Tamandua tetradactyla: one gene and its partners. The protein of the gene in region 4 interacts with the protein of the main gene of each other region in a biochemical or structural test. Links are inferred from orthologs where the notes say so. Each region holds a gene or a part of one and is shown on either strand. Other genes may lie near its edges. The genes, in order: peptidyl-prolyl cis-trans isomerase-like 1, RBPJ, VDR and SNW1.

What was found.
Region 1: the proteins of SNW1 (region 4) and peptidyl-prolyl cis-trans isomerase-like 1 form a complex in vitro, tested with the Homo sapiens proteins (2 studies listed by IntAct, with this or other methods). The link is inferred for Tamandua tetradactyla from reciprocal best matches to the Homo sapiens genes SNW1 and PPIL1.
Region 2: the proteins of SNW1 (region 4) and RBPJ form a complex in vitro, tested with the Homo sapiens proteins (2 studies listed by BioGRID). The link is inferred for Tamandua tetradactyla from reciprocal best matches to the Homo sapiens genes SNW1 and RBPJ.
Region 3: the proteins of SNW1 (region 4) and VDR form a complex in vitro, tested with the Homo sapiens proteins (2 studies listed by BioGRID, with this or other methods). The link is inferred for Tamandua tetradactyla from reciprocal best matches to the Homo sapiens genes SNW1 and VDR.

What each region holds. Positions count from the first base shown.
Region 1 is NC_135331.1:93,682,810-93,690,089, forward strand, and holds the start of peptidyl-prolyl cis-trans isomerase-like 1, read right to left. Parts: upstream 3,018-7,280; 5' UTR 2,986-3,017; coding exon 2,930-2,985; intron 177-2,929; coding exon 22-176; intron 1-21. UniProt on the Homo sapiens protein: Involved in pre-mRNA splicing as component of the spliceosome. PPIases accelerate the folding of proteins. Catalyzes the cis-trans isomerization of proline imidic peptide bonds in oligopeptides. Catalyzes prolyl peptide bond isomerization in CDC40/PRP17.
Region 2 is NC_135345.1:26,657,908-26,665,888, forward strand, and holds the start of RBPJ (recombining binding protein suppressor of hairless), read left to right. Parts: upstream 1-4,978; 5' UTR 4,979-5,323; coding exon 5,324-5,703; intron 5,704-7,981. UniProt on the Homo sapiens protein: Transcriptional regulator that plays a central role in Notch signaling, a signaling pathway involved in cell-cell communication that regulates a broad spectrum of cell-fate determinations.
Region 3 is NC_135333.1:107,855,921-107,863,442, reverse strand, and holds the start of VDR (vitamin D3 receptor), read left to right. Parts: upstream 1-4,517; 5' UTR 4,518-4,610; intron 4,611-7,522.
Region 4 is NC_135338.1:37,116,507-37,124,194, reverse strand, and holds the start of SNW1 (SNW domain-containing protein 1), read left to right. Parts: upstream 1-4,675; 5' UTR 4,676-4,781; coding exon 4,782-4,795; intron 4,796-5,334; exon of another isoform or gene 5,335-5,432; coding exon of another isoform or gene 5,433-5,440; intron 5,441-7,688. UniProt on the Homo sapiens protein: Involved in pre-mRNA splicing as component of the spliceosome. As a component of the minor spliceosome, involved in the splicing of U12-type introns in pre-mRNAs.

The DNA of each region.
Region 1 (7,280 bases), on a different chromosome or scaffold from region 4:
CTATTATCTGCTTAACTGTACCTGTCCCTGTTGGGTCGCCTCCCTGGATCATGAAATCTTTGATGATTCTGTGGAATTTCGTGCCATTGTAGTAACCTCTACGAGCCAACTCAGCAAAGTTCTTACAGGTCTTTGGAGCGTGCTTCCAGTACAGCTCCAGCACAATGATCCCCATGCTGCAGGCGGAGAAGACAACATCACACCAGTCAAGAGCAAGGTCATAGGAAAAAAAAAAAAAAAGAAGAGCAACGTCATAGCAGACAGGAATATTATGGGACTACTACAAGATTTTCAAACTTATGAGTCCTAAAACTGTGATAAGCACCAGATTTCATGCTCAGCAAAGGAAAGCAGCCCATTGCAAGTAACATGAACATACATATTTCCTTTAAGTAAAACGTGAAGGGCTTTCTGGACTTTCTTTTAAGCAAAATAACAACAGAGGACAACTCAAAATTCGAATACCTTACAAATAAAAGTAAATCACCAGTCATCTGGAACCAAAATAACCAACTTCTAAATTAGGACATAGAAATCTTACACGCAATATGTGAATTTTTTAAAAGGGGAGAACATTCAAATACTTTTCAGCCATAAAAAGGAATGAAGTTCTGACACATGTGTCAACATGGATGAACCAAGAAGGCATCCTCTCTGACTGAGAAAAGCCAGACACAAAAAGATGAATGTTGTGTAATCTTGCTTATATGGAATACCTAGAAGAAGCAAATTTCTAGAGGCAGAGAGTAAATTATAGGTTACCAGGGGTGGGCGGTGGGAGAGAAAAGGGAGTTATTACTTAATGGTTACAAAGTTTCTATTTGAAGTGAAGAAAAAGTTTGGGTAATAGACAATGGTGATAATTGTAGAACACCGTGAATGTGATTTACACAACTGAATTTTATGCAACTGAATTCAAGTTGAATTTATAAAAATTTTAAAAATACACACTGGAAGTGCATATTTATACATGCATTAGTTTCTAGGTAGGAGTGGGAATTGGTAGTTCAGCGATAAGGATGACAGGAAGATTATTCAATAGATGCCTTTTATAAATTCAGGTATTTTGAACCATGAAAATGCATAACTTATTAAAAAAAATTTTAACAGGAAAAAAGGTACAATTTGCAGGTGTTCGGGAGAAGCCCCAACAAAGACAAAAGAGTGTTTTGTTTTTGTTTTCAGTACTGCTAAGAATAGGAAAGAGGTAAAAGGGTTAGGACAGAAGCCTTTCCCTCTACCCTATTACTCATCTAAGAATGTGGGAAGTGAGTCAACTGCATAGCCTGGCCTATGATGAGGCTTTGCATTTTGTAATCACGCTATAAATGTATGTGGAGTGTGCCAGAAGACAGCTTTCTAACAGTCTTTCTGCCTGCAAGCCATCCTTCACACTAGTAACATTCAACAGGGATTAATAGTTACTCTGTGCAAGGCACTATTCTGGATGTTTTTGCCCTCAAGGAATTTACATTCTGTGGATAGTTTTTAAATACAGGAATAAACTTTTGAAATGTAATTGAGAAGCAACAACACAATTTTGAAAGGTACAAACCTTTTGACTTCTAAGATGAGGTTGCTATGGAAAAACTAACAAAAATGCCTAAGGTTACAGTATGTACAAGGATGTTAATTCCAGTACTCCAGTATCATTTGGAATGCTCTTCAAGTTGAAAATGACTAAAATACAAAACATCCATATACCGGAAGGAAATGAAAGAAAAGCAAATCACAGGAAAAACACACACACACACACACATATATATACAGTATGGTAATATGATCCCATTTTTTGTTAAAAAAACAAGAGTTATTTGTTAAGAATACATAGAAAAAGATCTGGAAGATCATCCAACAAACTATTAATAGCATTTACACAGGGAGGGCTGGCTTTCATTTCTTACTCTATACATATCTTCACTGCTTCAAATTAAATTTTTATTTATTTTGTAATTTAAAAAATGTTAACTAACAAAAGTTCAGAAATTACTTTCAAGTTGGGGCCTGGAGAAGTGGAATGTTGGCATATAAGGTGGAACAGAAGTGGACCAGGGAGCAAGAGCAGCACGAGGAAACGGGGTCTGAGAATTCTGTGCTCTGGTGAAAGCAGTGTGGGCAAAGACCAACGGAAGGCAGACAGACAGACAGAAAGGGCTGGACCCTGGCTGCTGACTTGAGAGTAGCAGAAGTTGTAGCCGGTACGCCAAAAACCAGATGATTACCAGATTAAAATGTCTAGTCTTATACTGCAGCAGCAAGAAGTCACTTAAGATTTTTGAGCAGGATCTCTGACCTTACTTTGGAAAGATCACTTCAAACTTTTTCCAAAGAGGCAATGGAATGAATGGGGCTAAAGAAAGTAGGATGTGAGGCAGACAGGCCACGCTCTAAACGAGGTTCCCCTACTCAACAGCTGTGTGGCTTTGGTCAAACGATTTAATTTGTAAATTTCGGCATTTCCTCCTGCTTAAATTGGAGGGAGCTGTAATATTACCTACATCATTTCGGTTTCTAGAAGGGTTAAACTGTAATCGCATACATCGGGGCATTGCACCAGCTGGTCGGTGCTTAATTATATTATAACACGTTTCTGAGAGTCAGGAAAATGTGCTTCTGCCTGTGTTCTGACAGTATCTTGTTTCTACAATTGCCGTACTTGCTACCTATCTGTCTTTTCATCATACTATGAGCTCCTAAGGGCTGTGTATGTTTTATCCTACGTGCCTGGTCAAATACATGCTTGTTTACAGAATGAATGAATGAAAGGAGTGGAGGAAGCTGTCGCTGCGGTCCAGGAGCTAGTCCTTGTTCAATTCTTCCACGTGGAGGCCTGCTTCCCGGGGAGCGCGCCAGGTATCGAGTGCCCCGGCGAAGTGTGGGCTCCGCGTCGCCTCCGCCAGCCCAGCCCCAGAAGCCCGATTTCCCTCACCTGGTCTCCAAGTAGACGCTGGGCGGCTGCCAAGAGTCGGGAGGAATCGCCGCCATGGCGAAGCCGGAGGAATCCTTCCTTAGCAATCGCTATTTCCGGCGTTGATTAACTGGGGACCCGCTGCCGCAGCGCACACTTCCGGTCCTGCAGCTCAGCCCTTTCGATTCCAGGGGTTGGGGGGTTGAGACAAGGAAGAAAAAGGGCCCTTCTGCCACAGGCGGTGAAGCTACGGTGCAAGGTGAAAACTGGTTGGAGCGCAAAAACAGAGGAAAATGCAAACTCCATTAGAGGAGGTGTCGAGGCAGTACCCCGCCACACTCTGGACGAAATGATTGGTTCAGGGAGGCAAAAGAGACGGAAACAAGCAGCAACGCTGCACTCTGACTGGGAGTTATGTCCTAACATTCAATTTGGATAATTTTCTAGCTCCGCTTTAGGGCAGAGATCGGAAGAGGAGGAGAATGAAAGGGTAGGAGATGAGAAATGCCTAAGACGCTGTAGTTTACGGTGAGATTACATTTTCTTATCTCCGCAGAGCAGTCATGTAGAGCTTATTATTTCCTTTTTTTCGGATGTGAAAACTGAGACTCAGCAGTTAAAGGATTTATTTGTCCAAGGTCATACAGCAAACTGAGCCGTGAGACTCCAAAGGCTAAGAGTGAGGGGAGAAGGAAGGGGGTAGATCAGGAAAGAAAATGCAGGTCAAAGGGATCAGGGCAAGAGCAAGGCTTTGCTGGAATAGATGATGCTCCAGAGTTGTCACGAGGGTTAACTCAGGGCCAGAGAAGCAGCGTGAGAAATTTGGAGGGAGGACCAAAGAGAAATGGGGTAAACTATTGTAAGTCCTTTAAAAAAAAAAAATTTATTGAAAAATATTCACATACATTCCGTACATGGTGTACAATCAGTGGCTCACAGTATCATCACATAGTTGTGTATTCATCACCATGATAATTTTTAGAACATTTGCATCACTCCAGAAAAAAAAAAAGGAAAAAAAAGAAAACCTCATGCATCCCATACCCCTTACTCCACCCTCTCAGTGACTGCCAGTGTTTGAATCTACCCAATTGTTTACCCTTTATTCCGCCCCGCTGTAAGGCATCAGGAGCTCGCCTCCTGCCCATGAACAACATCTAGTAATGGGGCCAGGATGTGGGAATCACACAAACATGTTTTTTTGCAAAAGCTAATAGCACTTTTTGCTTCTGTAGATAAGCTTGCTTGCTTTCAGCTGCAAAACCAGGATGTGGATCTGTGAAACTAATGCCATCTCTCTGCTTCTGTGAATAAGCTTGTGGTTTCAGCCTTTATAAGCCCACCCTGCAAGCCCCACGGTGCTGCTCTCTGACTCTTCCTTCTTGGGATTTCTGAGGCAGTCGCCGGCTGGCTAATAAAGACTCCAAATTGACTGGCTAATAAAGACTCCAAATTGACTTGCAGTTTTGGAACTTGGGGTCTCTCTTTCGGGGTGCCCCACAATATCCCCTACTATGTATTTATTTTTTATCCTTATTTTTTTACTCATCTGTCCATACCCTGGATAAAAGGAGCATCAGGGACACATGGTTTCCCAATCACACGGTCACATTGTAAAAGTTATGTTGCTATATAATCATCTTCAAGAAATAAGGCTTCTAGAACACAGCTCAACAGTTTCAGGTACTTCCCTCCAGGCACTTCAATATACCTTAAACTAAAAAGGGATATCTTATATAATGCATAAGAATAACCTCCAGGTTAACCTCTTGACTCTGAAATCTCTCAGCCACTGAAACTTTATTTTGTCTCGTTTCACTCTTCTCCCTTTTCGTCAAGAAGGTTTTCTCAATCCCTTGATGCCAGGTCCTGGCTCATCTTGGGAGTTCTGTCCCACATTACAAGGGAGATTTACACCCCTGGGAGTCATGTAGCGTGGAGGGCAATGAATTCACATGCTGACTTAGCTTAGAGAAGCCACATCTGAGAAACAAAAGAGTTTCTCTGGGGGTGACTCTTAGGCATAATTACAAGTGAGCTTAGCTTCTCCTTTGCAAGAATAAGTTTCATAGGGGCAAACCCCAAGATCAAGGGCTCAGCCTGTTGATTTACTTGTTCCCACTGCTTGCAAGAATATCAGGAATTCCCCAAATGAGGAAGTTGAATATTTTCTCCTTTCTTTCCAGTCCCCCAAGGGGACTTTGGAAATACTTTTCTTTTTCTGCCCAAATCACTCTGGAATGTATCGGTGTATCACACTAACCTGTACAAACCAACAAGATCTCATGCCCTATTCAAGATTCCATGTACTTATGGTGTTCAACTAAACTGACCATACAAGTTAAATTAGGTAATGCACTACTCAAAATATAAATTTTGCACCAAATAAACATTTCTGCCTTTGGTCTCACACAGAAGTTGAAGTTTTAAAATATGGACCATATCATCCTTTACCCTGTATTCTGATTTACTTTAGTCCTTTCCAGTTCAGTTTCTTTCATTCATATCTCTAGTTGAAGTCTGATCACTTTTTCAACTTTTAAACAGTTTCTGTATGGGGTAATACTGACTTTCATAGCTTCAGAGTTCTAACTTTGAATCTCAGGTGTCACATAAATACCTGAAGTTTCTGCAAACGGCCAGGTTATATACAAACAGCTCAGTATCTCAGAATTTAGAAATAGCAGTTACACCTCCTGAATATATGTGACTGCTGTAAGAGCTTATAGTGTATGACCTTTACAATAGGCCCTGACCTGATGACCCATGCTCTTGCTATTACAAATAATGCTTCATGTATATATATTTGTACACTTGTCTATGAATTTTTATTGGGTATTGTGTTAGTTAGATTCAGTTGTCAACTTGGCCAGGTGAGCATACCTAGTTTTGTTGCTGCGGACATAAGCCAATGGTACCTGAACCTCATCTGTTGCTAATTACATTTAAAGTCGACTAGGAGGCGTGTCTGCTGCAGTGAGTGACGTTTGACTTAATCAGCTGGTGCTTAAATGAGAGAGCGCAAGGTAGCACAGCCTAAGCAGCTCGGGCATTTCACATCTCAGTATTCACAGCTCAGCCCAGGCCTTTGGAGATGCAGAAAGAAGTCACCCCGGGGAAAGTTGTTGGAACCCAGGGGCCTGGAGAGAAGACCAGCAGAGACCATTCTGTGTCTTCCACGTAAGAAAGAACCTCAGTGGAAAGTTAGCTGCCTTTCCTCTGAAGAACTAACAAAATAAATCCCCTTTTATTAAAAGCCAATCCGTCTCTGGTGTGTTGCATTCTGGCAGCTAGCAAACTACAACAGGTATATAGCTAGAAGTATAATTGTTGGATCATAGATTGTGTGTGTTATAACTTAGTAAACACCAGACTGTTTACCAAAGTGACTGAAACAATTTACATTCCCACCAATAGTGTGTGAGAATTGCTATTATTGTTCTACATTCTCACCAACACTTAGTATTGTCAGTCTTTTTTTATACAAAAAATTCTGGAGGTTGTGTAGTGATATCTCAGTAATTATTTCCCTAACAACCTATATTAATGAAGTTGAGCACTTTTTCATATGTGTATTTGCTAGTCTATTTTGATATCCTCTTTTTGTGTTCAAATCTTCGGCTCATTTTTCTATTTGATTGCCTTTTTCTCATTTATGGAATTCTTTATATATTCTGAATGCAAGTGGTTTCTACCACTTCATGGCACATCTTTTCATTGTCTTACTTGTGTCTCCTGATGATCTAGAAGTTCAAAAGTTTCTAATTTTAACGTGGTCTAATGTGTCAATCTATTTTGCAGCACTTCAGAATTCTGACTAGTCACATTTTAAAGTGCTCAACAGGCAGTAGCAACAGCTGCCATACTGAGAAAGCAACCCTAAAGCTTTGTTTTACTTTTCTCATATAGATCTGCAATGCCCCGAGAATTTATTTTGATTATAATGTGAGGTAGGAGTCAAATTCAAATATTCAGGTTTTTCTGTATTATACACAGTTGAACCAGCATCATTTATTGAAAAGATTATCCTTACCTCACTGTTTATCATAAATCAAGTATCCCTATATATGTATTTCTTTTTTGGCCTCTCCATACTTTGTTCCATTGGTTTGTCTATTCCTGCACCAATATCACACTGCCTCTATGACTGGCACGTCATAGCCTGAACCCAGTAGCACTTTATTTGCACCTCTATTAAAGAAAGCAGTTAATAACTTTGGCTCTAAAGACTGGGCGGGAAAAGGAGACTGCATAATGCTACACAAATTAACTTCTCCATAAACTGTATTTGGTCAGTATGATGTAGATAAATGTTGTGGGGCTATTTGTCTTAGATCACTGAAGCGGTTTCATGAGGTAACGAATATAAAAA
Region 2 (7,981 bases), on a different chromosome or scaffold from region 4:
ATATGTAGCAGTAGATACTCTAAGCATGCTGTATGAATGGCCGGGGAGAATACTATTACTAATATAGTACTAAGACAGCAGTTTCTGGTTCTTAATTGTACTGAGATGGTACACTACATATATAAACTCTATTAGAAAATAATTCTACTAGGAAATGGCAGAGAAGAATCCATTTTATTCGGTCATTTTTTTTCTTGCATGTTTATTCCTTTTCTTAACATTTTGTATTTTGAGTAGGCAATAATACTTGCACGTGGTACAAAAGTCAAAGGATTCAAGATAGCAGACAGTGAGATAAGCCAACCCCTCCCCTCTGTTCGCCAACCATCAAGTCCCTTACTAGAATGCAGTTAACGTTATAGTTTCTATTGTATCCTCCCAGAGTCATTTTAGATACATATAGGTAAGTAAGTATATATTTATCTAACACTGTTTTGCACTTGGCTTTTTGAATTTACTGTATCTTTGTGAACCTTCCATGTAAGTACATAAATGGCAGCCTCTGCTTATTAACAGATGTATACTATTCCATTTTATAAATACAGCATGATCTTTTAAAATAAGACATCTCTTAATGGATATTTAGGCTTAATGGAATGTATTTACCAGTACGTTCTACCATAAATGGTGCTGTAATAGATAGGTAATTTTACATATGTGAGTATAGTCATAAGATAAATTTATAGGAATTGAATTGTAAGACTAACAGGTAGGGATAAAGTTTGCCAAAAAGCTTTCCATAAATATCAAACACATTTTTACTCCTACTAGTAACCAGAGATTCTAAAATGGAGAATAAAGGAACCCCTTAAAGTAAGTGTGACTTCATTTACTGGTCTAACCCAGGAGTAAGAACTTTTAATTTTTACCTAAAGTCAAGACAGGAGGTTGATCTGTAGACTTTCCCCTTCTTTCCATGTAGGCTTGCACTAGGTTACACAGTACTGGTATAACTTCAATGCTGCTTTGAAACCTAAAAGGCTTACTGAGTCTTCAAAATCATTTTTGTTCTCCTCTAAAGAGGACACCCCACTCATTCTAAAAATATGGGGTACCTGCCTACCATGAACCAAGCATTGTTCCAGGGGCTGAGGCTTGAACAGTGAATAAAATAGACAAGAATCCTAAGTGAGCCTTAAGGTGCCAGAGGGAAGAACATGCCAGGCAGCAGAATGAGCAAGGTCTGGAGTTGACAGTGTGCTGTGTATCCCAGGAGCAAGGAAGCAGCTGGTTAGTGCTGAACGAGTAAGGTGGAGAGTAAGAGATGTGAGGTCAAAGAGGTTTCTGCTGCAGGGCAGACTGTGAAGGGACGCTCAGTGAAATGGGAAAAGCACTGGAGAATTGTGAACCCAGGGTCACAGTAGTTTTGCATGCTCTACTGAGAACAGAATGAGGGGAAGCGAGATAAGAAGAAGGGTTATCAGTTAGGAGACTTCCTACAAGATAGGGTAGAAATGAGATAACTTAGACTGGGTGAGTAGAAACTGACATGAAATTGGCTTTTGGATGTATTTTGAAGTCGGCATGATTTTCTCTCAGGTTGGATGTTGAATGTGAGAGAAAAAGGAGGCAAGAACAGCTTCAAGTTTTTTGGTTTAAGTTAGTGGAAGGATGGATTTGTCATTTACTGAGATGGAGAGAAGATCACAGGCAGAGCAGTTTCAGGGCAGGGTTTTAGTGTGAAGATGAGGCGTTATGATTATACTTGTGGTTATGCCTTTTCAAGGTTGCTGGGACTTTCAGGTCATAGTTCCAAATTCGATCAGTGACCTGGACTAGACCACAAGTGAAATGTCTTTTCGGGAGGAAGGCTCCCAGGAATATGTGTCCAGGCCATGGTCCTCCTTTTGAGCTAAACTGTTCCAAACCAGGATGGCTTTGAGATTAAATGCTATTTTTCTATGCGGAATACATAATGAAAGGGTTAGGTACACACATACACACTAACACCTTTGAAAACAACAGAAACTTGATTTTACTGTCCACTACAAAACCATCAGAACATGAGCTCCTATTAGAAGGCTCAGCGTCCTTCAGGAATCAAAATTCAATTCTACATTTGCGGATCTATGGGGTGCTCTCAGCAAGGAAGCAATGTTAGAAAAGGTTGGTATAGAAACCATATCCGGGGCAATCTAAAATGTGCCTGACTGAAGAATGTAACTAGGAACTCACTGTACAAAATAAAAACCCAAAAGGAAAGGGATACAGTTAAAACAGTGGTCACTAAAGCACCCCACAAAACAATACCTAAAATGGAATGAATACTCAAAGAAAATATGGAAAGGGGAAGGGAAGCAAAACCAAAATTATGATTCACATTAACTGAGGGAAAGAAAAAAGAACAGAAACTGGTACGAAAGGATTACTTCAAAAGGTTAAAAAGATTAGGGGCGGAAGACGGATTTTCAAAAATCGTGTCCTTGAACGGGAAGCAAAAACTAGCCAACAATTTGAGAGCGCAGAGACCGGCATTTTTTTTTTTCCTACCCAACTCATCAGGCCAGCGCGTACAACTGAAAGGAAAAAACAATTGCTAAAGGAAGAGTAGCTAAGGGAATCCGAACTTGCTTTAAAGCAAGCGAAGTGGTAACCAGACTAGGTGACTCAGGCATGACTCAACCCTGACACTGGGGCTGTCTGTCAGCTTCTGGAGGTGGGGAGCAGCGGCGTCTTACACATTTTAGGAAAGTACCAGGCTCGTGAAGGGCGACACTAAATGTCCCCGGGAGTTAGGTCTGGGGCTCCTCCTGCCTTAGAGTCTGACTTCTTACCCCTTTCACGCCGGGAGCGGTTTCTAGTCTCCCAAGTTCCCCTACTTTCCTACGGACCACTTCTTCCACGAAGAGTCACGAACGCGAGTGTGTGCGAGACGTCCAGCCTCCTCCCTGCGCATCCCGCCACGCGCCCACCGGTCCCGCCTCCGCGGAGTGCCGCTCCCTTTCCACCCCGCCTGCCGCCAGGACACGAGCTGCACGAACAGCGCCCAGAGCTGCACGAGACAAACACCTGTACTGCCTGGGCTCCGCGAGACTTGGGGCCGAGGTATAGGCAACAGCGGGCACGTTCTCGCGAGGTTTAGCGAATTTCCCACGGCCCGTGTTGTGTCTGAGGCGAGTAGTGGAAGGCGGTGGGAAGGAGGTGCAGCGTGAGACTAGGCTGCCCGCATTGGGCACATGCGCAGTGTGGCTCGCGCGTGCCGCGCCAATCCTGCAGCGCCTTCAAGCAGGTTTCGAGCGTATTCCAGTTCTCCGGGTTTTGGGGCTCCCTGTGGGAGGCAGTACAGGATCTGGGAATCTCTAGGAAAGGAAAGGCGGAGTAGAGCGGGAGAGTGGGGGGACCCCCAGGTGCGGGGGAGGGGTGAAGTTCGGGCCCTGCACTTTTCAATTAAATGCTAGGACCGTCCAAAATTGCTCCCGGCTTTCAGACCTTAGGGCTCTCGATGTACGTGGCGGGCAGCTGGCAGCATCCTTGGCTGTGCCAGGCCCATGGAAGGGCCGGTTCCCTGGGCAGAGTTGGCCCTATATTCACCTGGCTCACTCATGGTGGCTGGTGCGTTGGGCCCCTAGAGAGGCTCACGCGGCAGGCAGGTCACTGCACCGAGTGGCAGGGAATGAGCTTTGCGGCCTCTGGCCAGGGCCGTGGTCGGGGGTGGGTGGGGAGGGGCTGTGGTGATAGTGGCTTTCAATTCCAACTCAGTTTACACTACGGAGAAAACTGCTCGGCGCTCTAGCGTGTGTATGTAAGGTGGACATTCTAGATGACTTTGCAAGAGGCCTTGGCCTGACCTCACTTCGCACCCAAGGAGTAGAAGTCTAAGGCGACAGAGTTCAACCACAAAAGTTTTCCGTTTACAGAGCACTGGAGGGGCGGATCACGTTGTAATTATGTTCGGCCCTCCATTAGCAATGGGGATCAAAAGAATAAAGATAGTTCCTTGGTCTGTCACTTGCCCTAACCCCAGGCATATTTGTAGTTCCAGCACCTTATACTGAGGCGTCCAATGAACGTTTGAATGAATGAAAAGGGCTGGGAACCCAGAGTGAGCGGGAAGCCACTTGGAAAACACCCATTTGAGGAGGTGTTTCATCTAGGCCTGTGAAACGCGGCAGATTTTCCCAGGACCCCTCCTCCCTATCCCTCGGCCCCGCCTTCTGACCCCTCCATTCCCCGTCCCTGTTGTAATCCCCTCCAGTTTTCCTCAGTCTCCACGTACGTCCCTCAGGGCACGTCTCAAAACCCGGATAACTGGAGCGCTCCCCATGGACCACACGGAGGGCTCGCCCGCGGAGGAGCCGCCTGCGCATGCTCCATTGCTTGGGTAGGTTTCCAGGGAAGGCAGCAAGCTGGATCCCCTACTCCGCGGGCGGCGCGAGGCGTCTGGCTTTCGCGGCGGCTGCGAAGGGAAAAGGAACTAGGGGGCTGGGTGGAATCGAGGAGCGAGGAAAAAGGGAAGGGGCGGGGGAGAGGGACTAGAGAAGGCTTCGGGGGAATCTCGCGAGGGTTGGAGTTTTGGCGAGAGTTTGTGGAAGATGGCGCCTGTTGTGACAGGGTAAGTCGGGGGAATCCGAGCGCTGCGAACGGGGAAAGTTGCGGGCGTCTCACAGCCCACGGCGGGCGGCGGGTTCGGGTGCCAGGGCGCGCTCGGCGTCGGGGGATCGCAGGAGCGGCGGCGTGTGCACGGAGCCCTGTGGCTGTGCGCTGTCCGCGGTGTGCCGCGGTGGCTCGGGCTCCGGCGCGTGAGGGCGGGCGGCGGCGGCGGCGGCGGCGACGGCGAGGCCGGCGGGTGTGGGCGTGAGTGCGGCGGGGCGCGCGGGGCCCGCGGGCGCTGTGCCTGCCGCTCGCCTCCCGCGCCGCTGCAGCCGTCCGTGGACCCTGCCTCCCAGCTCCGTGCAGCTTTGTTCCTCGCGGCGGTGGTCGCCTCGTTGCCTGGCCGGTGCCCCTGGCCCCGGGCGCTTTGTCTTTCTCCTCTGCTCCTCGCGACCCTCTACCCCCGGCCCTTTGTTTCGCCGTCTTGGGCGCTTTGTCTGACCCGTAGCGCCCCGCATCCCTTTTCCGTCTCTTCTCCTCCGCTCCCTTGCTCCTTTGTTTTGCCCCAGTCTACCCGGCAGTCCAGTGACCTACCACAGTTTAGACACCAGGTTTCTGACTTTTAATTTTTCTTGAATTGTATTTCTCATGTGTTTCCCCTCTTTCATTTCTGCTTGATCTTTCGTCGCCCCCAGAGGCTTTTGTCTCCCCGACCCAGTGGTTTATTTCCTCGCACTCCCCCCGTCACCATCCCGCTCCCATCATCGGTTGATTTATCCACTACCCACGGTGTATGTCTGCTGAACTGTCTCAGCGCGGAGGACTCCATCTGGTGCTTCTAAGGGCAGACCCTGCGGGGTGTTGTTTTAGTGGGTCTGAAAGATGCATGGTGATACTTAGTTTCCTCCCCGGCTCCACTCCTCCCTCCGCATCCCTTTCTCTCGGGATTACAATGTCTTCAGTTTTCTTTGCGGTTTCTGGGCCCGTAGTTGTTTTGCTTGCTAACAGTAGCCCTGGAAAAGAGTCTGTGATGGTTCTTGCCCACCTGCCCCGCCGCTCTCGCCCTCCCCTCGGTTCCGGACGGCCTAGGCCAAGGGCAGCAGTCTGTAGCTTTGCATCTGGGTTACCTGAGGATGGGCGAAAGGTATTTAAGACGTTCAAAGGAGACGCAAGGTATTTTTTTCTGTTGGTGTTTGAGAATAGTTTCGGATACCATGTTAGATACTCATTTGATGTGTAAGTAGGAGTTGCGTGAATTTTGTTGTTAAAAACTTGTGAGTGTTGGGATGGAGAATTTCAGTATTTTCTAGAATGTATATCTAGAGTCTGGTTAACTTTTGTTTTATAAAAAGGAAGGAAGACATTCTGCTTGGGAATTGATTTGATATAAATGTTTTGTTTTTTTCTTAAGCACCAGATAGGCACAGTTATGTGGATTTTGCTCTGTATATTTATGAAAACCCTTCTGTTCCTTTATTCGGGTTGAAATGAGGAGAGCACTTAAGAGTGCAGTTTCTGGTTGATGAATACTGTTTCTAGGATCTTTCTGAACTATATTAATAAAATGCAATTAAAAGTTATATAAGTAATAGTCTTAAGGAAGATTGTCTTAAAGTTAGTTACGTGCATTTCCTAATATGTTAAAGGAACATTACGTGGTTCCAAATTCTCATTGTTACGTTAGTGTTAAAATCTTGGTGGTGGTGTATTTTAATGGCTTGAATTATTCTAGTGCTCAGAATATGAGATATTAGACTTACCAGGATAACTAGAATGAATATATTCAGGGTTTTAAAAATTACTATTTTTCTCCTATTGGCCACTATTTTTAGAAGATATGTTACTTAAAGAATCATTTTGTCATGTCATTTCATTTGTAAACTGATGTTCCTCATAAGATGCTGAGAGAATTTACAAGATCTAGTCTGAGGAATATTGGTGGACTGAAAAACTTTTTTTTTTTTTTGGCTGATGATTGTGGTTAAAATTAGTAATTTAAATTTTAATTAATGGAAATCATAGTTTCGTGATTTATACTGGGAGGTGTATGAAAATTTGCAGTTTAGTTTCCATGAGTGGATTTTACCAATAACCATTTGCTTCCCTTGTTCTTAGTGCATAATCATCCTTTGGAAGTAAAATTGTTGAGCACACTGTTGGTTCTGAATGGAAGATATTTTATTCTGACTTGTACACACACACACACACACACACACACACACACACACAAGGGCAACTTTTACATTTTGCATTTTATTTCTAAATCATGTACTTTTTCGTGACATAAGGCCTTTATTTTGTGACTAAAAATAAAACAGTATCTTTACTAAATTAAATTATATCCAGCAGCATATATAGAAATATACAGTATGAGTTGTAGCAGGAGAACTTTCATTCTGAATATAGACTATAAAATCTTTAAATTTGTCATCCAAGTGTATTGCAGATAGGTCTATGGAAAATTTATTTTCAGGAAAAAATGTGGAGACACATTTGCAGTAATTTAGGATTGATTCTAAATATGCTTCTAGGCATTAAATTTCATGCATTAGGTTTGCTGAAAGGCTGCCTTTTACTCTATACCAACAGATTTCTATCGATATCTTTTAAGTGGCTAGAATATAAAAAAATGGTTTAGATAAAAAGCTTCTCTTGCCACATGTAATTCATTAAATACTTTTTGGGAGACTAGATTGGTAAGGCATTAGAAAAAAGGATTTTGGTAGTTCTTTCATATCTTCTTAATTCTGGTATGTGGTAATTTTTAAATTAAAACTTCGGGTTTGGATTTAAAGCATTATTTTGCATTTTGCTTCCTCCTAATACTAAATTTCAGCTAGGGGCAGTTTTTTCTCATGGATTGACTTAAAGTTGTTATTTTTGGCATCTGGCTTTGTGATTATTTCCAAGTTACTATACTTCCCCTCAGCCAGTTTCCTAACTGTGTAGTAAAATGGGAATTGTAATACTTGCCCTATCTGTACAGGATTGCTGTGCATTAAGATTTGCAGAGAATATCCTTGGATATAAGGGATGGTTGGGGTCTAGGAATTGTTGCTGAATAAGTAGGTCATGTTTTATAGGAAATCAAATGAGAGGTTATGAACTCTACTCGGTTCTTGGCAAGTTACAGTGGTGATGGTAGGATGAAAAAAATCCGAATGTGTATTATAGTTTGGGTAATAAAGCAGATACTTTTTATTCTTATAAACTTGAGGGAGAGGGACATGTGAAACAAATGATAGGGTGGTATTTTGTGTGTGTGTTTGTGTGTGTGTGTAAAAGATTGAAGATCTGTCAAACCTAAATGTAATAACACATTGTAACTTATGAGATGACTTTCTTCTTGACTTCTTTCAAAATAAAATAGTAGCATAAAATGTTTTCACAGACTCTAGGCCAATTATTAACAGTAATGACAATTTTAACAATACTTTTTTTTTTTTAATGC
Region 3 (7,522 bases), on a different chromosome or scaffold from region 4:
TAAGCCCTGTGGTTCTCTCAAAGCCTTTCTTAGAATCTCATGTTCCAGGTACTAAATGAAGGGATCCCACGGAGCTTGCTCACATTATTCAGGAAGATGAGATTCAATCAAAACCAGGGCAGTTAACAGTTGGGGAAAAAAAAAACAACCACAACACAAAAACCTGGGCAGTGCCCTCGGTCCATTGGTCACACAAACAATCTAGTCAGCCTAGCTTATAACCCAGGGCAGAATTTTTCAAGCTAAAGCTCACAACCCATTAATGGTGGATCCCATAAAAAAAGAAAGAAATGGTTGAATCCATCCATTTGGTGGATCTCATAAGAAAGAGAAAAAGAGAGGGAGGGAGGGAGGAAGGAAGGAAGAAATGGTAGAGAAAATAGTAGAAAATATTGAAAGCATTGTAGGATATCTGTATTTCATAAGGCTTTTATCTAATTTATATATGTGCATGGGTTTACTAGGTCATGATAAAAACTTATTTCCTACTTTGTGTTGCAGTTAAAACTTTGAAAATCACTGTCCTGAGAAGACCCTTTTTGTTTGGTTTGCTTTCATTGCTAATAGCTTCTTCCATTTATTTATTCCATTTTCACCGTCTAGAACACAAACAGGATCCAGTCCTGGATCTTTTTTGTCCTGATATCGATTAGAAAAGATAAATGAGCTAGCCTTTCTGGACTTAATTTTTTCAACTCTAAAGCAAGAGAACTGATTGAAATGGATGGGCTGGACCCTTCTGTTTCTATGACTTCATGATTCCATGTTTCTCAGAATGTTCTCTAGATACTTACCGGGTAAGAGGCTTCCCTTTATTCCTATCATACCTGTACCATAAAATATTTAAGGGGGAAAGGGCTTTAAAAAAAGGAAAAACAGGTGGGAGTGCTCCAGAGAGAACTCAAAGGACATACTTTTACCTGGAGAGAATCCTCTGGATCGCTTATCCTTCTGTCCTTAGAGACAAGGTCTCTGGGAACCTCTGTAGGGACAAGGTCACCACTTCAGCTCTGGCACCATGGCAGGAGGTCCAGAGAGTGCCAGCCAGACTAGGGGACAGTGGCCAGCCTTAAGGAAAGGGGAGTCCATCAGTTGAGGATAGGATGAAGCTCTGTGGCCTGACTACAGGCCTGCTCAGGCCACCTATAGGCACATAAAAACTGGCCTCAGATCCTGTGGAATGGCATGCACATGGGGTGGCCTCAGCTTGGCATTTCTGGAATCATTCCTCCCAGCTAGGAATCTCCTGGTTGGGCTCCTTTGTTTCTACACAGACTGTTGAGTTTATAACACTATAGTGTGGTGTCTTTCCCATAGCACTTAATATATATTAATTTATCAGAGATGAGTACTGACAAAAACACAATCTGAGAATCCCATAAAGACAACCATCCTCCCTTCCAGAGACAAGCAAGAGTTCTAGAAATATTAACTTCAAGGACAAGAAAGAGATAATTAGTGTTTTCTGCAGAGGTTCTGATGCATACCTCATACAGCAATCAAGCTAAAGTTTAAAGATAATGATTCTGTAGTACAGGAATGCTGAGTGTCATCAAAGGCTTTGAGAGAACAGGGTGTAAAACAGCAGCCTCCCTTCCTAGAACTTGGCTAGGGAGAAGCAGGGTCAGGAGGCAATTAGTGATTACAACAGAACACCACAGAAGCGAATCTGATGTAATCTTGCTTTTCTATTTTTGCAAAATGACATTCCTAAGATGAAAACTGAGGTGAAAATCCATCTTTGTTCAATATGAATGCAAGATGGTTCATTGCCAGGTGACAAGCCATGCAAAACAGACAATACAAAGACCAGAGAATTGACAGGTCTTTTTGGCCTGGAGATGGCTGGAAAGGCCTAATGGTATAGACAAGACCTGAAGGAGGATAGAGTCTCGGGAGACAGATGACAGAGCAACTCAGATATTGGGTGAAGATAAGAAAAACATGATCAGGGATATGTTGATGGGGCTGATGATGGAATGTTCTAGATCTCTGATAACATCTATAATTTTGCAAAGCTGCCAAACTCAAAACCTCTGAGTTCCCAAAGGCTGAGTTTTCTAGACTGTGGTCCAAAAGATAGAAAGTCCACGTGTCTCTGTCACTCCCTAGCTGTAAGAACATCAACAACTCTGCACAACAGTTAATTGTACAAAGACGAGAGTATTTTCTACTCTGCTTAACAGAAAAGGTTGTACTGAAGATCAAATGAGATAATCCAAATAATTCTTTTGATACTGTCAAATTTTACATGTTAGGTATTCTTAGTAGACTACAACCAAGAACTGTGAAGAAAGAGTGTCTTAGTTTCCTTCGCTGCTCAAGCAAATACCATGCAACAGTTTAGCTTAAACAATGGGAATTTATAAGCTTATGGTTTTGAGGCTAGGTGAAGTCCAAATCAAGGCATCATCAAGGTGATGCTTCCTTCCTGAAGTATGGCATTCTGGGGCTGGCTGCCAGTGATCCTTGGTCTTTGGCTCCTCTGTCACATGATGGCAATCTCCTGGCCTCTCCCTTCTCTTCTGGGTTCCATTGACCTTCAGCTTCTTGTTTCCCAAGGCTTCCTCTCTGTCTAAATTTCATTCTGCTTATGAAGGACTCTAGTAATAGGGTTAAGACTCGTGCTGAGGTGGAGCACACCTTAACTGAAGCAACCTCATCAGAAGGTCTTACTTACAATAGATGCACACTTACAGAATGGATTAAGTTTAAGAACATGTTTTTCTGAGGTACATAGCTCCAAATCACCTCAGAGACTAATAGTCAGTTACTATTTTATACTAGTAACTCATGTCTTGCCATGTTTTGTTAAGTTTATTTTCTAGATGACATTCACCTCTGTCTCTGGCACCACAAAAGTGACTTCTGAGTGATTAACCCCTTCTAGAGGTTCACAGACTTCCTGAGAATGTCCCAAAGTGGTGATTATTAGAGATACCCTCTTTCCATGGGAGTCATTGCTAGAGTTTCCATGATGCTTTGAGTTGAGAACATTCTTTTCCTTTCATTACAACCAGAGAATTCCAGACCCATCAGATCAGCCGAGCCTCCAAAGGGCATTTCATCTCTTCTGTTTCTCAGCATGCATTGTCCATTCCCAAGTTCAGTGAAAGGATGGGTGTCGCTTCCATTTTTTTTAAGTTTCCATGACACCCCCTTAACGAACTGTTTCAGTGCATAGCAAACTTCAGTTTCAAGGTTCTTCCTTCTGTTTACCCTCAGTTCATTTATCTTGATCCAATTATTGAGATTTGGAGAGGGGTTGGTATCAAATAGTATGGCATAATTGGTTCAGAAATGGTTCAGAAGCCACTATGCCAGCAGACTTGCTCGACTCCAGTGCTAGCCCTGTATTGTACAGTTGTGTGACCTTGGGCAAATCACTTAACCTCTCTGTGCTTCAGTTTCCCACCTGTTTGGCTTGTCCCTCTGAGCCATGGCTTCTTCCTTTATAAAAGGTGAATAGCAATGCCTTCCCTGCCTAAAAGAGTTCACCAACTGCTAGATGATTTTGTGGGCATCTCTATTGCAGCACATTATGTAGTAATTATGTTGTAATTACTATTTATTTATGAATTTCCCCACTGGATAGTGAGCTCTAAAACAGAGGGAACCATGTCTTTTTCATCTCCTCCACTGTCCAGCACAGTGCTACCTAATCCATAGTTAGGGAAGCAGCATAGAGTAAACAGTGAGGCCCCAAATTGTTCTTTTTCTTTTCTTTTTTAGCCCAAATCTATGTCAGCTTTTTCATAGTCATCCCCGATTCCAGGTCTTAGTATGTATTTTTCACTTCCTCCCTCCCTTTTACACCAATGTCATGCCGGGGAAGGGGGAACTGGGGATCAGGGCCCCAGAAGCTGACACTAAACCAGCTAGGACGAGATTCGCGAAGAACCTGTAACCTAGCCATTTGTGGTCTCTGCCTAGGGGACATAGAGTAAGAGCGATGATGCAAATCTAGGCTCCACTCCGGCCCCGTTTATTTATTTATTTATTTTAATCATAGCGCGTGGGTTCGGGCTCAGCTCCCTGGCACTCGGCAAAAGTAATACGACGGCGAATGGCGCCCCGAATTTTCCACGAGAGCGGAGAGAGCCGTTGGTGCCCGTCGGCAGGCGCCCCCCAGCGCCCGACGGACGACGGAAAAGTCCTGGCGGTGTCAGCCCAGGTGAGGGTGACGCACCTGAAGAGGCGTCGGTGGAAGGCTGGGCAGAACCACGGCACCTGGGGTGGGGAGTAAAACATCACAGAATTTCGAAGGCAGGAGCGTAGATCTGCACACTTACAGTCATCGAAAACTCCCATGTACAAGAGGTGAAAGCATGCCTTGCTTTAGGGACAGCAGTCGTGAAAGGCTACTTGGGGCAGAGTCTCCAAGGTGACAGTGCAGTGGTTGATTCCAAGTCAAGATGGTTGCAGCGCGAATGGAGTGCCTGGCAAGAGAGGACTGGACGTGTGGGCGGGGCCAAGGCATAGGGCGGACCTAAGGGCGGGGCCTGTGAGAGGGGCGGGGACAGGTGCTGGGTTGTCTCTGCTTGTCAAAAGGCAGCAGCCGATCCCCAGGCGCTGGGAGCGCGGACCAGCGTGTCTACCCGCGGAACCAGGTGCGGACCCCGGAGCAGCCGGGAAGGGGGTCCCAGCATAGAGATCAGGCTTGGGGTGCGGGGCGGTTGGTACCGGGGCTGAATAGCCGGGTGCAAGCACTAGAGTCTAAGTCACAGGGGCAAACTTGGAGACCGAGAGCCGGGCTGCCATGAGGTTGGGGCACTGAGGAGGCACTGGGCTCTCAGAGAGACCACCTGGGTGCTCGGTTAGCTTAATGCAGAAAAGCTCCGCTAGCACAGTGTTCAGCACTTGGGCAACAAGAAACATTTGTTTCCTTCCTCTGTCCGGGTGCCTTGGCACAGAGTGAAGGAGTAAGAAGGGGAACGATTGGCTGTGGATGGCGCTAAATCTTTTGGGGGTGGAGTGTGTAGCCTTATTTATTATCTTGTGGGGCCCACGTGTGGTCACCTGTGCTGGTGAAGTTGGGTCTTTTAAGTAAGGTGTGTTTCCTGCCTTTTTTTTTTTTTTTTAACTCCAATGCTTTTAGACCTATTTAGCCTTTGAGTACTGCATTAATTTCCTCAAGAGACCCTGACCATGGGTGAGGCATAGGCACTCAGGGGCAAGCGTCTAGGTGAGGAGGGGGCTCAGAGAGTAGTTTCTGTCTGAAGGAGGTGAGGGGCCAGGCGTCTGTGGGGGGCGGGTGAAGAGGCTTCAGGGAAGTATATGCCAGGAAGCAGTGTGTAGTCTCCAGTGGGCAGTGGACAGCAGCCCCGGTCCCCCTTTTTGCCCCCCATGGACTGCTGAAGCTGAGACCCAGGCTGCCTGGGCTGGGGATCCCAGGGTCACTGCTCCCAGGCCCTTCCCGCACAACCTCCTCCTCTTTCTCCTCCTCTTCTTCCTCCTCCTCCGTGCGGTGAGTGAGTCAGCCTCCTGTCTGGGCTCAGTTGCAGCCAGAGGGGCCAGAGCCCAGGCAAGCAGTTGGGCAGGCATTTTCTGAGCATTGCAGAAGCTCTCCTGGGCAGAGTTCAGCTCTGCTCCAGCTCCCTGCTGGAAGGCTGTCTCCTTGTGGCTAGTGGTGGCTGCTTCCGCAGGGGGCAGGCGTTCAGACACCCAACACAGCAATAGTTATGGGATGTTCTGATTCCAGAAGGAGTTGATTGAGAAGGGATTGTGGTTTTGTGGTAAATCCATGTCTCTTATCCTTCTCCTAGTATCGTGAGGTCTACCTCAGTCTTCTGCAAACTTTTCCATCCTCCTCATACCATTTCTGTCTAGTGATCTCATTAGTTGCCCTTGTCTGCTGGTGAAGTGGGGGTGCAGAGGAAATTGGAAGATTCCGGGACCAGGGAAGGCATTGTGTTGTCAAAGAAGTCTTTAACCCAAACTAGGGAGTTGGGATGGTTTGACGAGGTGGAGATGGGTTATCTGGACTCTGGAGCCTCAACTCTGTGGACCAAGAGTGTTGAGTGACAGAGAAACTTCCCTCATCCCCCTGCACCCCATCCAAGTGCTAGAAGAGATTGTGGATCTTTTTGGAATAGTGTTGAAACTGGCATGTGGCCAGACTGGGAAGTAGTAAGAATGTAAACTTCTTTCTGGCTTTTGTTTTGGATGCTGTTAAGATCCTTGAGCAGAAATAGAAGGCCCAGTGTCCTTTGATTCTACTCAAGAGCCTCTCTGGACCCAAGTCAGAAGAATCCATGGCAGCCAACTAGGCTGTGGAGCTGACTCAAACTGCAAACAGCTGGGGAATTCACAGTCTGTGCTCCGGCTGGGTCCACAGCTTAGGGTTTGGCTGGTCCCTGATCAGCCATGACTTGGATCCTGACCAAGCTAAAGGAGAGACTGAAGAGTAGGGTCAGAAGGAGGAAAGGAAGATCCTCACTCCTCTTCAGCCAAGCCTATCACTTGGTCCCAATATTGTGGAAGGTCCAGGTTATGTTGTGGTGCTCAGGTAATTTGTGTTTATGGTTTCTCTGTCTTCTTCCCCTATATGACCTCAGAACTGATCTCCTTTTGGGACTAAGCCCCAGAGGAAGCTCTAAGAGGACCTCTTTAATTCTTTCTCTACCCCTCCTCCCAATAACAAACAGCCAGTGTCCAAAGCCAAAGTCCTAAGCCAGTGTCTTTCATGTGGAGGGATTGACTTGAACCTAGTGTTATCCCAGTCAGGAGGAGGAGTGGAGTTCCTGTTGTTTGCTTCCTTACGCAGGTAGGGATCAGCCTTGCAGAGATCTGCCACTGAAATCTCTGCTAGAAATCTGCTGCTGTATAATACTCAACAGTGGCGATCTAGAGATAGAAGTGCTGAAGTCAGGAGGACCTGGAAGTCTGAGCTAGTATGACATTCCAATTTGTTCTCCTCACTAATGAACAAGGAGAGTTATAGGGCTCCAACTTTCCATTTGTCACTGTTGCTATTCTCTTTCGGATGCAAGTAGAAGGAAGTAAGGAAATGACTATATTTGCTTAAGTGCTTTCTGAGTACCCAGCATGGTGCTTGGCCCTCAGATGGATGGCAGGAAGCAGAACCCACTGCTTTTGCCCCCAAGAGATCTTAGCTCCAGGATGGGCAGCAGCCCTCCCACCACTTCTGTCTGGTTCTGAGAGGCTCCACCTGGGGTGAAGCCAGCCTGGGTGTTGCTCTCGACCACAAAGACTGTGCTTCTAGTTATGTTCCTCCCTGATTTTCCCCTAACCTCTCCAATCTCAGTGCCCTCCGGGGTGGAATAGAGAGTGACTATATAATTTATCATCCAAACTGGGACACATTTTAGAATGAAAAGGTGTGCTATTAACAGTTATACCAGGACAATAGGCATAAACTGAAAGTGTCCAGGGCAAACTAGAATTTTGAACCCCAGTGACAGAGGTCCCTAGTGAACACCTCTGCAGAGGCTACAGGGGTGAGGGGAAGATAGGGGTACTTAATTCAGAGGGCAGCCCCTATACCTCAGCCTACTCCCTG
Region 4 (7,688 bases):
GGCTGAAAGAAATGGAGCCCAGGAGTAAGGGGCCAGCAGGTGCCAGTCACGTGACTTCCCAACTGACAGAGGTGTTTCAGATCCATCAGCCTTCCTGAATTAAGGCATCTTTCCCTTAATTCATGAGTTAGTTTGGACACTTTTATAGACTTAGAGCTGTAATCTTGTAACTTTTTAAATCCCCTTAGTAAAAGCTCTTCCATTTCTGTTATATTCCAATCTGGTACCTTCAAACGAATAATACAGCAAATCTGATTTTTCTTGGCATATAATTCTATGAATTTTAATGCATACAGATTTATGTAACCATCATCACAAACAGGATACAGAGCAGTTCCATCCCACCTAAAAAACTCACTTGTAGTGGTCACACCTCCCCCCTAGCCCTAAATCCCTGGCCACCACTGATCTATTCCCTGTCCCCTTAGTTTTGTATTTTCAAGAATGCCATTTATGGAATCATAGACTACGTAACCTTTGAGACTGGCTTCTTTCACTAAGTATGACACCTTTGAGATTCATCCAAGTTGTTAGATGTATCAATAATTTGTAGAAAGAGAAATGTTTAAACCTCATTGTTCAGAGGTTTAATTTATTTAAAAAAAAATATCGAGAATAAAAGGGGATCCTGGAGATTATCTGGGCCCTCTCTGTCTTTTTCAGAAGAGAAAACTGAAATCCAGTGAGGGTGAGCTTCTTAGTTTCCAGGCTGCTATGACAAATGCCAAACACTGGGTGGGCTTAAACAAGGGAATTTATTGGCCCTCTGTTTTGAGGCTAGAAGAAGTCCAAAATCAAGATATCAGCAAGGCTTGCTCTCTCCCAGAGTCTGTAGCATTCTAGCCTAGGCTGCTGGCAATCCTTGAGGTTCCTTGGTTTGTATCTTTGCCTCCCATCATATAGTGATGTCCTCTCCCTTCTGGCTTCTGTGACTTCCGGGTTCTGTAAATAAGGCCTCCAGTAACATGGATTAAGGCCTATTCTCATTGAGTTGACCTTACCTTAATTTTTTAAAAAAATTAATCTTCCAGAGTTCCTATTTACAATTGGTTCACACCCATAGGAATGCAAATTAAGATAAAAAAATATGTTTGCTGGTGTACATATTTCAACCATCCACAGTATGGCCCTATCCAACTCGGTGCAGGCATAGGTGATAGGGATACAGTGATGAGAATGAGAGGGTTTTCTGGAAAAAGCGGTTTTATTCACAGACCATACAATCCATCCGGTGTATACAATTAATGGCTCTTAGTATAATCATATAGTTGTGCATTAAATACTACAATCCATTTTAGAATATTTTCAGTGCTCTGAAAAGAAAAACACCATAACCCCCATACCCCCTTACTATTGACTCTTAGCATTACTGTGGTAACCTTGTTACAACCAATGAAAGAATATTGTAATATTACTTTTAACCATAGTCCATAGCTTGCAGTAGGTGTATTTTTCCCCATCTGTTTCTGTTTGCTAAAGCTGCCAGAATGCAATGTACCAGAAATGGATTGGCTTTTACAGAAGGGATTTATTAAGTTATAAGCTGAAATTCTAAGTCCATGGAAATGTCCAATTAAGGCATCAACAAGAAGATGGCTTCATTGAAGAAAGGCCAATGGTGTCTGGGTTCCTCTGTCACATGGGAAGGTACATGGTGACATATGCTGGCTTTTCTCTCCTGGATTGGCTTCAAAATGGCTCTCTCATCTCCTGTAAATCCTTCTGGCTTCTGCTGGAGCACTTTCTTTCTCTAAGAATCTGTGAGTCCTCCCTTAACTTCTCTTCTTCTTCTGGGCAAACTCTAGATTTCATCTCTTGACTTAACATCTCCCGAGGTGTTTTTTCTCTCTAAGTGTCTGTTCTTTCTCCAAAATGTTTCCCTCTTAAAGGACTCCAGTAAGTGGATTAAGACCCACCTTGAATGGGCAGGGTCACAGGTCCATAAAAACAACTTAGTCCAAAGGTACCACTCAACAATAGGTCTGCTTCCACAAAATTGGACTAAAGAAGATAGCTTTTCTGGGGTACATAATCATTTCAAACCAACATACCACCCTGTTATTAACACCTTGCAATAATGTTGTACATTTGTCCTAGTTCATGGAAGAACATTCTTATATTTGTACTGTGAACCACCTTCGTCATCTAAACAGTGTCTACTGTGCTATGCAATCCCATGTTTCATTCTCTAGCTTTCCTTCTAGTGACGTACACAACCCTAAGTTCCCCTTTTAACCACAATCACACACACAATTCAGCACTTCAGTTGCATTCGCAATAATGTTCTGCCATCACCTCTATCCATTTCTAATAATTTACTATCAATCTTACTAAAAATTCTGGACAAATTAAGTATCAGCCCCCCATTTACTAGCCTCATTCTATCATCTCCTAATCTATATTCTAGATATTAACTCCATGAGTTTGCTCATTATACTTAGTTCATGTTAATGAGATCATACAATATCTGTCCTTTTGTGTCTGACTTATTTCACTCAACATAATATCCACAAGGTTGCCCCATTTTGTCACATGCGTGAGGACTTCATTTCTTCTTACAGCTTAATAATATTCCACCGGATATATATGCTACATTTTGTTTATCTATTCATCAGTTGATGGGCACTTGGGTTATTTCTATCCTTTGCAATTGTGATTATGCTATTATGAACATTGGTGTGCAAATATCTATTCACATCCTTGCTTTCAGTTCTTCTGAGTATCTATACCTAGTAGCAGGATTGCTGTATCATATGGCAGTTGTACATTTAGGTCCTCAAGGAACTGCCACACTGTCTTCTATAGAACTATTAAACTCACCATTTTAAATTCCCACCAGAAATATGTTCTCAATAGGAATAAATGTTCCTATTCCCCACATCCTCTCCAACACTTGTAGTTTTCTATTTATTTAGCAGGGGCCATTCTAGTAGGTGCGAAATGATATCTAATTGTGGGTTTGTTTTGCATTTCCCTAATAGCTAGTGATGTCAAGCATCTATTTGCTTTTTAACCATTTGTATTTCCTCTTTGGAAATATGTCTATTCAAGACTTTTGCTTATTTTTTAATTGGATGCTTCATCTTTTTATTATTGAATTGTAGGATTTCTTTATATATTCTTGAAATTAAGCCCTTAACAGATATGTGATTTCAAAATATTTTCTCCCATTGAGTAGGCTGCTTTTTCATCTTTTTGACAGTGTCCTTTGAAGCAGTAATCTTCAATTCTGAGAAGGTCCTATTTTTCTATTTTTTCTTTCATTGCTTATGTTTCCAGTGTAAGGTTAAAGAAACCACCAATGAACACAGGGGTAAAGAGGACACTGTCTATACCACACATACTCTGAGACCAAAGGAAGAAAAGTTTATTTTGTCTGGAACCTAAATTTTCTGTGGCTCATAATCTAACTCAACCTATCTGTATAGCTCATTTGAACAATAAAACACAGGGAGCCGAGAAAGAGGGTCTTTAATCCTGTATAGCTTAATGTAATGCCTGGATACATCCTAGAATATATTAAGCAGATAATAAAAAAGTATTGGCAAAGACCTTTGAGGGATGGGAGAAAAAATATGAAACTATTAAACTTTACCATCAGGGAATTCCCTGATACTGTGTCAAACTTTAGGGACACCCAAATCAATAGGCCATGCCCTTGATCTTGAGGCTTACTGTTGTGATGTTTATGTAGGTATCTTAGAGCAGCTAGAAGTAAAAATCTAAAACTGTGGAATTGTAACCCATGCCAAATTCTGAAATCGGTCCTACAGCTAATTATGGTGCCGTGCTTTGAAATTTATTGGTTTGCTTTTTTTCTTTGTATATGTCATTTTTCACAAAAAGAAGAAAAAGTTGATTATGATGATAAAATGTATACATATTCCTTCTGACCTCCAATGTTCTGGAGCAGCTAGAAGGGAAAATCTGAGATGATGATATGGTAGCCCATGACAAATTCTGGGATCTGTCCTGTAATTCTTGTTGAAGAGTGCTTTGAAAGCTATTGCCTTTATCTTTCTTCGCTTTGGAAAAAAAGAAAAAGAAAAAGAAAAACCCTCAAGACTCGTCTTGCTTCATTTATACTCCACCTACTTCCCTTTCCTCAATATTTTGAAGCAGATCTCATTTATTTTATCACTTTCTCAAGGATTATGCTTAACCCATAATTTCCGTGTACCTAAACATATAATTTAGAACACATATGCACATTGTACATACCAGGAGTTTTCTAAAAGTAACTCTTTAAAGGATAACAAAATACTTTCCCAGGAGTGTTTCACGTGAGAACACAATGTAAAAAAAAAAAAAAAGTTTTGAATGTGAACGTTTTCAGAGCGTCCAAGAACTGTTCATTCGCCGGTTTCACGACTTGCCAATATGTGAAGTCCCCGTCACCTTTTTATTTAATGTGAATAACCCCTGAAGGGTTTTGTGTTTAAGACTCTACTAGGGAAATGGGACTGATTTAGGATAAAAATAACAAAGCTGCACTAAAAAGCATCTTCCTCCAACTTTGTTATTTTGCCTAGGGAAGGTATATGTGATACTTATGCACGTGTGATGTATTTATTCTTCTTAATTGAAGCGATTAGCCAATGATAATTACTTAGTCGGGTTAAACGCGAGCATAATTGTACTACTGTTCAACGAACTACAAATCCCAGAAGGCCGTTCGGCTAAGGCGCCTGCGCTTCGCATGCTCCTTCCTTTCCCCGCCTCGTCGCCGGGAAAGGTCCGCCCCTCGGTGCGGTCGGTAGCGCTGGAAGAAGCGGAAGAAGATGGCGCTCACCAGGTGGGTTGTTGATTCGGGTCCTCGATACGGAAGGCTCTGGGAGAACCCACCATTTTCATTTCTCTGACTACTGTCTCCGGGCGGTAATACGGCCCAGGGCACAGAGCGACGTGGGCTGAGGGCATGGGTAGGCCCTCCCGCCGGCCGCCGCGGCCACTAGGCCTCGCTGAAGCTGGGGTCTCCTCTGGGCGCCTTTTCGGGTTGAGTTCTCCCTGTAAGTGGGGCCACAACCACGGTGTGGCGAATAGTTTTCTGCCCTCAGGTGCTGAGGAGTCGCACATGTTTCTCGGTTAAGTATCTTGGGGGATGCGGAGAGCGACTTGGTGGAAGCAGTGGGGATGTGGAGCATAGTGGCTTGCTTCAGCGGAGTGAAGCTGGAGGGAGGTAACTGAGCTGCTTTCCAGCCGTTTGTCTGCCGAGGTTCTCCTTTCTCCGTCCACTCCTGAAGAAAGGGACCGAGAACTGAAAGGAATTTTAAACTAGTCTCAACAGTGACCGCTATCTACTAATATGCTCCGCTGCTTCCCACTTTAACTTTGGACCTTAGAATTTCTTTCCTGGATAGAACACCTTCAGATTTTTGCTGTTGCCGGTTGCCTTGGTAACCGTATGTAAAGTGGTCCTCGCCTTTGAGAAAATGGTGCTGTAAGTGTGGGATTCTAAAAAGTTATATAACTTCTGCTCCTCAGTGACCTTGTTGCCCCATTTAAACTTGAAAAACTTTTCGTGTGAATTCAGCAGGAAAATTTTACTGACGAAGAGGGCTGGAAAAAAAAGTATCATTTTAGTGGCTATTTTCAAACAAGTGTTGATGAAGATGTGGAATACTTGAATTCACATATACTTACTGGCAGGAATGTTTTGGAAAACAAACTAGCAGTTTCTCAAACTGTTAAATTAGAGTTACCGTGTGATCTAGCAGTTCCGCTATAGGTATGTCCCTAAGAGAAAAAAAATTGTCCATGCAAAGATGATTGCACAAATGTTCGTAGTGGCATTGGTAATAGCCCAAAAGTGGAAACAATCCACGTTTAACAACTGGATAGATAAATAAACTGATATAGTTATACAACGGGTTATTGTTTGGCTATCTTTTTAAAAGTAATCATTTTAGGGCATTGGCTTGAGCTCCCTTAACACTTCATTCAACGCATTTTTCCTGGCACAGTTATGAATCCTAAGTTTTAATCAGAAAATTATTTTGAGAATTGCTTTTGGGTACCTTGCTCCCTCCTAAGAGTTGTGTATATGGAGGGAAATCTGAAATCTTTGGCTGCAGGGAAGAGGACGGGCAAAGCATACAAATGTGAAACAATTGAAGAACAGCACAAAACGCTATTCTTAACCATAAGTGCAAAACCATAAGTGCAAAAAGAGTTGGATGGAATGAGCTGTGCGTATTGGAGAGTTTTCTTTAGTAAATGTTAACAGACAGTGAAGTGTCCTCCAGGTGCAAGGTATTGTGATATAGACTAGTAAAGCTATAAAGGAAGATTTTGTGCAACAGACAGAATTTGAAATGGACACAGAAAAAATACCAAAGATGTATTGTGTGCTTAAAATTGCAACAGCACAATACAGTTTTTAAATGGCTAGTCTTTGAGGACTAAGTAATTTTTTATTTTGTTGAGTTAATTCTAGCTGATTTGATTTTTGGAGATGGTCTCAAACATTTACAGGTGAAGTGTTATGTTATCTCCTACATCTACCAGAGATTCTTAACAGCAGGGTCAGTTACATTCTTGGTGTCACTGGTGATTGTTACTAATACTAACTAAAGGTTTAAAGCCTGATGGATTTAATTTTCGAAATTCAAGTGTGTTTAAGGTTAGTTGTCACATGCATTTGATAGTCTTTTGATACTAAGAGGGAAATGGTAGGCTAGAATTTCTCAACAATGGTATTTTTGTCATTTTGGACTGGATGATTATTTTGTGGTGCTGTCGTGTTGTGCATGGTAGGATGTTTAGCAGCATCCTTGGCCTTTAATAGATACCAGTGATACTGCCCCTCAGTCATGATGGTTAAATACTGTGCACATAACCAACAGTCTGTTTTATTTATTCAACAGCCCTGCTATCAGCCCCCTCCTCCAATGGTAGACTGCCTCTTTAAGGAAATGTCATCCTCTACAGGAAATTACAATGTTAAGGCATTCTGGAGACTAGAGTATGTTCTGACCAAAATCCAGGCACTGCTACCTGTTTACTGGATTGTCCAAACCCTTTGCTTCCTGACAGGCTGCCTGCTTTTGGATCATTTAGTGATGACTTCTTCCAGTAAAAAGTAAAGAGAAATGAAACAGAAGTAAATATTTTGGTTTCTTTGTTGCTTTCTTTTTATCCCTCTTATGTGTTGATTGTATATGGTTTACTGAAAACAAAAATGGAAAAAGCCCAAGACTTCAATTCAATTTATGCATTGATTAATTCATTCATTTAATTAGCAAACATTTGTTGAAAGGTCTGCCGTGTGCCAGGCGCTATTCTAGTGCTGGTTTTATAATACTGAATCAGCCAAGCAAACTCCCTCACCTGACAGAGCTTAAATTCTAGGAGAAACAGACTGTATAAGTCAATAATGCAATTTCAGATAATAAATCCTAGGAATAAAATAATGAAAGAAAAGGAATAGGATAGAGAGTGACTCAGGTTTGGGGTGGAGTGATAACTTATTTAAAACAGGGTGGTCAGAAAATGGTTCTAAGGTGTGATGCAGCAGAGACACGAACATAGCCATGAAAAGCTTTGGGAAAGAGTTTTCTATAAGAGCATTACAGGAAAATTTATTTTTAATAATTTGTGGCAGAGAGAATAGTAGATGTTAAGATTTCTTAGTTCAAGAAAGGTGAAAAGGCTAGGGTGGTATAAAGATGGTATGAGTTAGAGTGAAT